Coturnix japonica: one gene and its partner. The protein of the gene in region 1 interacts with the protein of each later gene in a biochemical or structural test. Links are inferred from orthologs where the notes say so. Each region holds a gene or a part of one and is shown in the gene's direction. Other genes may lie near its edges.

Evidence for each region.
Region 2: the proteins of UBC (region 1) and USP32 form a complex in vitro, tested with the Homo sapiens proteins (2 studies listed by BioGRID). The link is inferred for Coturnix japonica from reciprocal best matches to the Homo sapiens genes UBC and USP32.

What each region holds. Positions count from the first base shown.
Region 1 is NC_029534.1:5,348,165-5,351,764, forward strand, and holds the start of UBC (polyubiquitin-C), read left to right. Parts: upstream 1-1,266; 5' UTR 1,267-1,427; intron 1,428-1,488; exon of another isoform or gene 1,489-1,613; intron 1,614-2,163; 5' UTR 2,164-2,169; coding exon 2,170-3,543; 3' UTR 3,544-3,600.
Region 2 is NC_029534.1:6,771,833-6,775,651, forward strand, and holds the start of USP32 (ubiquitin carboxyl-terminal hydrolase 32), read left to right. Parts: upstream 1-1,014; 5' UTR 1,015-1,110; coding exon 1,111-1,168; intron 1,169-3,819. UniProt on the Homo sapiens protein: Deubiquitinase that can remove conjugated ubiquitin from target proteins, such as RAB7A and LAMTOR1.

The sequences.
Region 1 (3,600 bases):
GTCCAGTCAGTTGCTTATTCACATGGAGCTACTGGAGGAAGGGCAGTATGTGTGCTAAGTACTTAGATATATTTAACTAGAAAACAACTGCTTTCGTAAATAGTTTACTCATAGGATTTGGCAATAGTTTTTTTGCTTGTTTGTTGAAGGGAGGGCTCTGGCATTTTCTGAAAGTGCCGAAATCCTTCATGCAAACCCAAAACACCCAGGGCAGACTTTAGCTTAGCGTTGTGGTTAATATCCAGTTTAGCAGCTGTGGCCTTTCACATTTGTAAATATTATTGCTAGTTTCTCATGGCTTTCCTCTCAGAGCTCCTTGTTTAGCTGCCTTGGCTCTAACCTCTGCTGCTTTGGTGCTATGTACACGAAAAGAGCCTATTGGAAACAGTGAGCAAAGTTGGCAGTATTAAGGAAACAGCGTTGCTTAAGTAAGGCCTTTGTCCTAAATCTACGTAGTCCTAAATCTACGTAGTCCTAAATCTATGTAGCTGAATAGTATCTCCGAGGTTTCCAGTTTCTCTTTTCCTCCCTTCCCGTCTACATTCTGAGTAACTGCTGGGAAGATTTATGTCCTTTTTACTGTAAACCAAGTGCTGAGCAGTCACAGGCCTTGCTAAAAGAAGTGAAAGCTCTCTTTTTAACTGGGGGAAATACAGCCCTGTGTTCAGTCCTGCTATTCACACACACGTTCGTGCTTCCTAAGCAGAGGATTTACCAGCAAGTTCATCTGTGTTCACCGAGCAGTAAATGAAACAGCAGAGAAACCTTCCTGCTTTCTGCATGCTCTGGTTATGATATAAGAGCTGTTCTGAAAGGTATAATGAGCTTTAATGAACACAAAACATGCCGCCACGTCGGCTCAAAGCAGGAAGCTGCTGTGTGACCTGTTCAGTGCTTCCTGTTCTGAAAGCAGCAGTGGGCCTGCTGTGATTAAGGGGTATTTTTGCCCCCTTTCTCCTTGTCAGACCCTTCCCTAAGCAAATAACAGGCAAAAAGATGCGGCCTAAACACAACGTCCCCATGGGCGCGGGGCCTGCCCGGCCTCTCCCTGCCCCCACTCTACGGATCTGCGCATGCGCACACCCCCCCACCCCACCGAAATCTGCCCCCGCAGAGCAGGGCCGCCCTAGCAACAGCGCTGACCTCACCGCGCACCAATCAGAACGCTGCAACGCTGGAATCTTCCAGAGCTTTCTTTACAACGGATCTTTCCTTAACAACCAATCAGCAGCCACCTTTCTTACTGCTGCGCCAATCAGCGCCGATCTTGCCACCGTTGGGATTAGAACGTTTCATTAGGCCGTTTCACCGCAGCTCCAGATCCATCCGCGCCCTCAGAACTTTTGGGATTTTGAAGGGTCTCCTCTCTCTACCGAGGACATCACGGACCCCATTACTCCTGGAGGAGGGATTGGAGCGGTAGAGAGGTGAGTATTGCTGGTACCGGGGGGGGGTTCGTTTGGGACTACTTTGAGAGGCGGAGGGATACGTCAGCGCTTTGAGGGCGGGGACTGTGCGGCGCAAGGAGCATAAATAGGGGCGGCGCTGCGTCACAGCGCAGAACACAGCGACTGGGATCGGGATTGCATTGATCGGAGCTCAGGGCCGGAGACGTGAGTTGTGTGGGGGGAGCGCTGAGGGGGGGGAGAGAAGGGACGGTGGTTTTTTGTTTTCAAGGCAGAAGGGGTTGGAGTGAGTCCGCTTGGGGTTGTATTTGTGAGGGGAGGTGGTTGTGGACGGTCTAATCCGGCCTAAGGGCGCTTGAAGAACGGTGCGAGGGGGGGGGGGGGGCAGGGGAAGCTTGTGGCTGAGGAAGGTGGGGTGTTATAAAGATGGCGGAGCGCGGCGCTGTGCGGCCCGGAAGCGGGAGCTGAGTCAGCGCGGCTGCAGCCGTTGTGCCAGTGTGAGAGCACGGGGGGGTGCCCTGGAGTTAAAGGAAGGGGGGTGCTGGGCTCGGCCAGCACAGGGCATTCAGAATTATAGGGTCCTACCTCAAGGAAGAGGTGGGGAACAGGAACAACAGGGTTAGTTATAGCTTATTGAAATCCTAAATGATGTAACGTAATGCAAATTAGTAAGTTGTTCTTTTTTTTCTCGTTTGTAAGGTGTATGTGGACTTAAAGTGCTTTTTAGCTAAGGCTAAAATTTCTGTATGTTTTTCAGGTAAACATGCAGATCTTTGTGAAGACCCTGACTGGCAAGACCATCACCCTTGAGGTTGAGCCCAGTGACACCATCGAGAATGTGAAGGCCAAGATCCAAGACAAGGAAGGCATTCCTCCCGATCAGCAGAGGCTGATCTTTGCTGGCAAGCAGCTGGAAGACGGGCGCACCCTGTCTGACTACAACATTCAGAAAGAGTCCACTCTGCACCTGGTGCTGCGCCTCAGGGGAGGGATGCAGATCTTTGTGAAGACCTTGACTGGCAAGACCATCACCCTTGAGGTTGAGCCCAGCGATACCATTGAGAATGTGAAGGCCAAGATCCAGGATAAAGAAGGCATTCCTCCCGATCAGCAGAGGTTGATCTTCGCTGGCAAGCAGCTCGAAGACGGGCGCACCCTGTCTGACTACAACATCCAGAAGGAGTCCACCCTGCATCTTGTGCTGCGTCTGAGGGGAGGGATGCAGATCTTCGTGAAAACCCTGACTGGCAAGACCATCACCCTTGAGGTTGAACCCAGTGACACCATCGAGAACGTGAAGGCCAAGATCCAAGACAAAGAGGGCATTCCTCCCGATCAGCAGAGGCTGATCTTCGCTGGCAAGCAGCTGGAAGATGGGCGCACCCTGTCTGACTACAACATCCAGAAAGAGTCCACCCTGCATCTTGTGCTGCGCCTCAGGGGAGGGATGCAGATCTTTGTGAAGACCCTGACTGGCAAGACCATCACCCTTGAGGTTGAGCCCAGTGACACCATCGAGAACGTGAAGGCCAAGATCCAAGACAAAGAAGGCATTCCTCCTGATCAGCAGAGGCTGATCTTTGCTGGCAAGCAGCTGGAAGACGGGCGCACCCTGTCTGACTACAACATCCAGAAGGAGTCCACCCTGCATCTTGTGCTGCGCCTCAGGGGTGGGATGCAGATCTTTGTGAAGACCCTGACTGGCAAGACCATCACCCTTGAGGTTGAGCCCAGCGATACCATTGAGAACGTGAAGGCTAAGATCCAAGATAAGGAAGGCATTCCTCCCGATCAGCAGAGGTTGATCTTCGCTGGCAAGCAGCTCGAAGATGGCCGTACCCTGTCTGACTACAACATCCAGAAAGAGTCCACCCTGCACCTGGTGCTGCGCCTCAGGGGTGGGATGCAGATCTTTGTGAAGACCCTCACTGGTAAGACCATCACCCTTGAGGTTGAGCCCAGTGACACCATTGAAAATGTGAAGGCCAAGATCCAAGACAAAGAAGGCATTCCTCCCGATCAGCAGAGGCTGATCTTTGCTGGCAAGCAGCTGGAAGATGGGCGCACCCTGTCTGACTACAACATCCAGAAGGAGTCCACCCTGCACCTGGTGCTGCGCCTCAGGGGTGGCTATTAGTTGTTGTCAGCAGTCTTGTCGAGCAAGATGCACAGCACTTGTGTTTGCACTGTAGTC
Region 2 (3,819 bases), about 1.4 Mb from region 1:
AAAAGCAAATGGGATCCTGGGCTCCATCAGGAGAGGGGTGGTCAGCAGGGATAGGGAGGTGATTGTCCCTCTCTACTCGGCTCTTGTGAGGCCCCATCTGTTGTACCGTGTCCAGGTGTGGAGCCCTCAGTACAAGAAAGACATGGAGATTTTGGAAAGGGTCCAGAGGAGGGACAGGAAGATGATCAGGGGGCTGGAGCACCTCCCCTATGAGGACAGGCTGAGGGAGTTGGGTTTGTTCAGCCTGGAGAAGAGAAGGTTGCGGGGTGACCTCATTGCAGCCTTTCAATACCTGAAGGGAACTTACTCCCAGGAGGGCTGTGAACTCTTGGAAAGGGCTGACAATAGCAGGACACGGGGAAATGGTTTTAAGTTGAAGGAGGGAAGATTTAGGTTGGATGTCAGGGGGAAGTTCTTCACTAGGAGAGTGGTTAGGCCCTGGAACAGGCTGCCCAGGGAGGTTGTGGATGCCCCGAACTTGGAGGTGTTCAAGGCCAGGTTGGACGGGGCCATGGGCAACCTGATCTAGTAAAGGTGTATGTTTGGTGGCCCTGCCAGGCAGGGGGTTGGAACTACATGATCCTTGAGGTCCCTTCCAACCTGTGTCATTCCGTGATTCTGTGATACCAGGCTTAATGTTGTAACAGAACCAGCTGGAAAACCAACGGGACCCAGCGTTGTGCTGGGCGCTGAATGCAAAGCGCAGGGCAGGTTCCTGAGCGGTGCTGCCGGGCGCAGCTCAGCCCCCACAACAACAACAACCGCCGTGAGGAGGCGGCGGCCATTGGAGCGCGGCGAGCGTGAGGCGGGAAGCGCCGTGTCACGTGGCCTCTCCTCAGCTCCGTCTCGCGCCGTCCGTTAGGAGGCGCTGAGGGAGGGCAGCGCAACGGCCCGCCTGCGTCACGTGACGCTCCGGGGCGGGCGGCCGCATCACGTGACCCGCCATGGAGGAGGCGGCTGGGAGGGCGCGCGGCCTACTCCTCCTCCTCCTCCTCCCCCCGGCAGCCGCGTCCCGCCCCGCCCCCCCCCGCCCTGCGCTCCGGAGGCGCTGAGCGGCGCAGCCCGGGCTCCGCGGCGCCCCGCCGGCCGGGCCATGGACTGAGGGGCACCATGGGAGCCAAGGAGTCCCGCATCGGCTTCCTCAGCTACGACGAGGCCTTGCGAAGGGGTGAGGGCCGGGGGGAAGGCGGGCAGGGGGCGCGGCGGCGGCGGGGGGCCCGGTTCTGTCAGCGCCCGGGGGGCTGCCGCTGTACCGGAGCGGAGCGGGGGGGGTGCGCCGTTGTGCGCCTCGGGTGCGCTACCCCGCCCGTATCCATTGCTCCCCCCCTGGATCCATTGCTCCCCCCCTGTGATCATTGCTCCCCCCCTGTGTTCATTGCTCCCCCCACACGCTCTTTAGCACCGGGCCCTGAGCAGCGCCCGTCCCCGCGCCCTCCGCCCTGGCGGCGCTGCCCACACCCAGGCTCCGCCGGCACCGGTCGGGCCTCGTCGTTTGGCGGCCGCCCCCGAGGGTGGCACCGGGCGAGGTTCGCTGACAGCAGCCGGCGCCCGCCCCGAGCGTTGACCGGCGGCAGCGCGCACTGCGCCCCGCGGGGCCGTGGCGGCTCCGCTCCGCGTGTTGCCGTGCCGGGCTCCCGCGATCCCGGAGGGGAAACGACGCGTAAACATGGACACGAGCTGCTCACCCTGACAGCAGCCCCGCTCTGCTGCGCTGTCCGAGGACAAAGAGGGACGGGGGTTTTGTCCAGGAGGTGGTTTGTATGGAGGATTTCTTGGGATGGTCGGGCTGTGTGTGCGCGTGATGCCGTGAGTGTGGCAGGTCACCTGTTTGATGTTTGCGGCGCTGATAAATTCCGTCGGCTCGGAGCGGTGCGTGGCTGCCCTGTTTGTGTCTGCTCACACCTGAGGAGCACATGACTGATAGGGAGAGCTGGCAGCGAGCGTTAATTGAAGGGGGAGCAAAGTAACGCCAAATGGAACATGTATTAGATGTTCATTAGATATCCCTCTTTTTTAATGGTGGAGATGAGGGATGCCATGTCAAGTAGGAAGTGGAGCAGCACGTTGTAAATACTGTCAAGCAGAGGAAACGAATGTGTGATTCGAACTCCTTTTCATTACAGATTTCAGACAGAACGGTCTTGAATTTCAGTTGCAGTGAAAGTATCTGAAGCTCCTGTAAAGCGTCTCTGTATATATAGCTCTGTATATTGTATATATTTTTAGAGGCACTGGAGTCATAAATGTAGTTGGGTAGAGGTGTGACATTGAATATAGCAGGAAACGTTTGGAATAAACTCAGTGGAGGAGAATGTTCATTTGGTCAAGGCTGAAAGCTCATAAATTAGGGAAGCTGTTTGAAATTGTGAAGTTAGATTTAAACTTGTATATTGCTTCAGAATGTGGAGGCCGATCTGGAAGCTTTGTAGGGAAAAGTTACTTAACACGAAAGTAAGATGAATTCTGAAGTTATTCTAAATTACTTCTTGCATAGTGAATGTAATTTTTAGTGCTATTCTTTCTACTTAAATCTTTGAATTCTGTATTTCTGTAGGAAAGCAGAAGTTGTTTCAGGCTCAATGTTTTGTTCAATGGTTGTGTTGCTTCACCAGTGAATCTCTGTGCATAAAACAGGCCAAGTATCAAGACACTGTTCATAAGGAAATAAAAGCCATGTCCTTCCATGCTCAGTTTCTGTACCTTATCTAATGTTGTCTGTAGGTTATTAACTGTTGGGAAATGTTTATATTCTATTTATATTTTATGTATCATAATTTCTCTTGGAGAAGAACCCAAAGGAGTGAAGGTGAGGAGCGTTCCTGCGGTTAAATGCTCACAATATAAATAACAGTAGCTAAAATGTAACTTCTGTTCAAAGAGATGAAAATGGGAGGGCAGTGTTAATGGCCCTGTTGGCTCTGGAACATGAGATAGCGCTGTGGTTCCTACTTTGTTTATATCTTGCTGGTGGGTGCGGGCAGCTGAGTGCCCTGCGGGTGATGGGGCTGGCGGGTGGCCCTGGTGGAGCTGCCTCATGGCCCCCAGCACAGCTCACACTGTGTTACAGTCTCCTTTCTCTCTTCTGCCCTTTAAAATCTTTGGTTGTGTAGCTTGGGAGTGGAAGGTAAGGGCTTCTATTTTAGACAGCTCTTTTCTTGTTAGGAATATTGCTGAGCTATGCTCATCGTAGCCAGAGGCACAACTTTACCCGTTGCTGTGGGAATGTTAAAGGTTTGGAACTTGTACTTATCTTTGAGCGAGGCTCTTCCTGACCCTGTAAACTTTGAAGTTGACATCTTTGTAAGGAAATTAAATTCTCGGACAAGTCATCATAGGTGAAATGAAGTATGTACGTTGTTGCAAAACTATGCATAATGAAATAGGTTTTCTCATCGAACGAAGTTTGTAATGAGTAGCGACACAAACGTGGTTCTTGGGTTTGTTGCTTTTTCTTACCCCAAGAGATGTGACAGTTTGGTGGTGGTGGCTTTTTGTTTGCCTTAGGGAAGGCTTCCCTGGCTCAGTCTGTACCCCACCTGGGTTTGGTGCCTTCTGCAGCACGTGCCTGAGATTGCCCAGTGTGAGGCCTTGTCTTATGCTGAGAGGTGTTGCTCTGAAGTCTGCCTTCTCCTCCTCCCCCTTCTACTGGCAGCCTTGGATCCTGCTTTGCTGGGGGCTGCTGTGAGCTGTGTTCTGTTTAGAACACTTCAACGAGGATCCCCTAGGAAGGAGATGGCTGTGTGCTATTAATTGATGGCTGGCTTATTTCAGATTTCTAAGTACTGTATTTCCCAATGACTTTAATGCATAATGCTTAAA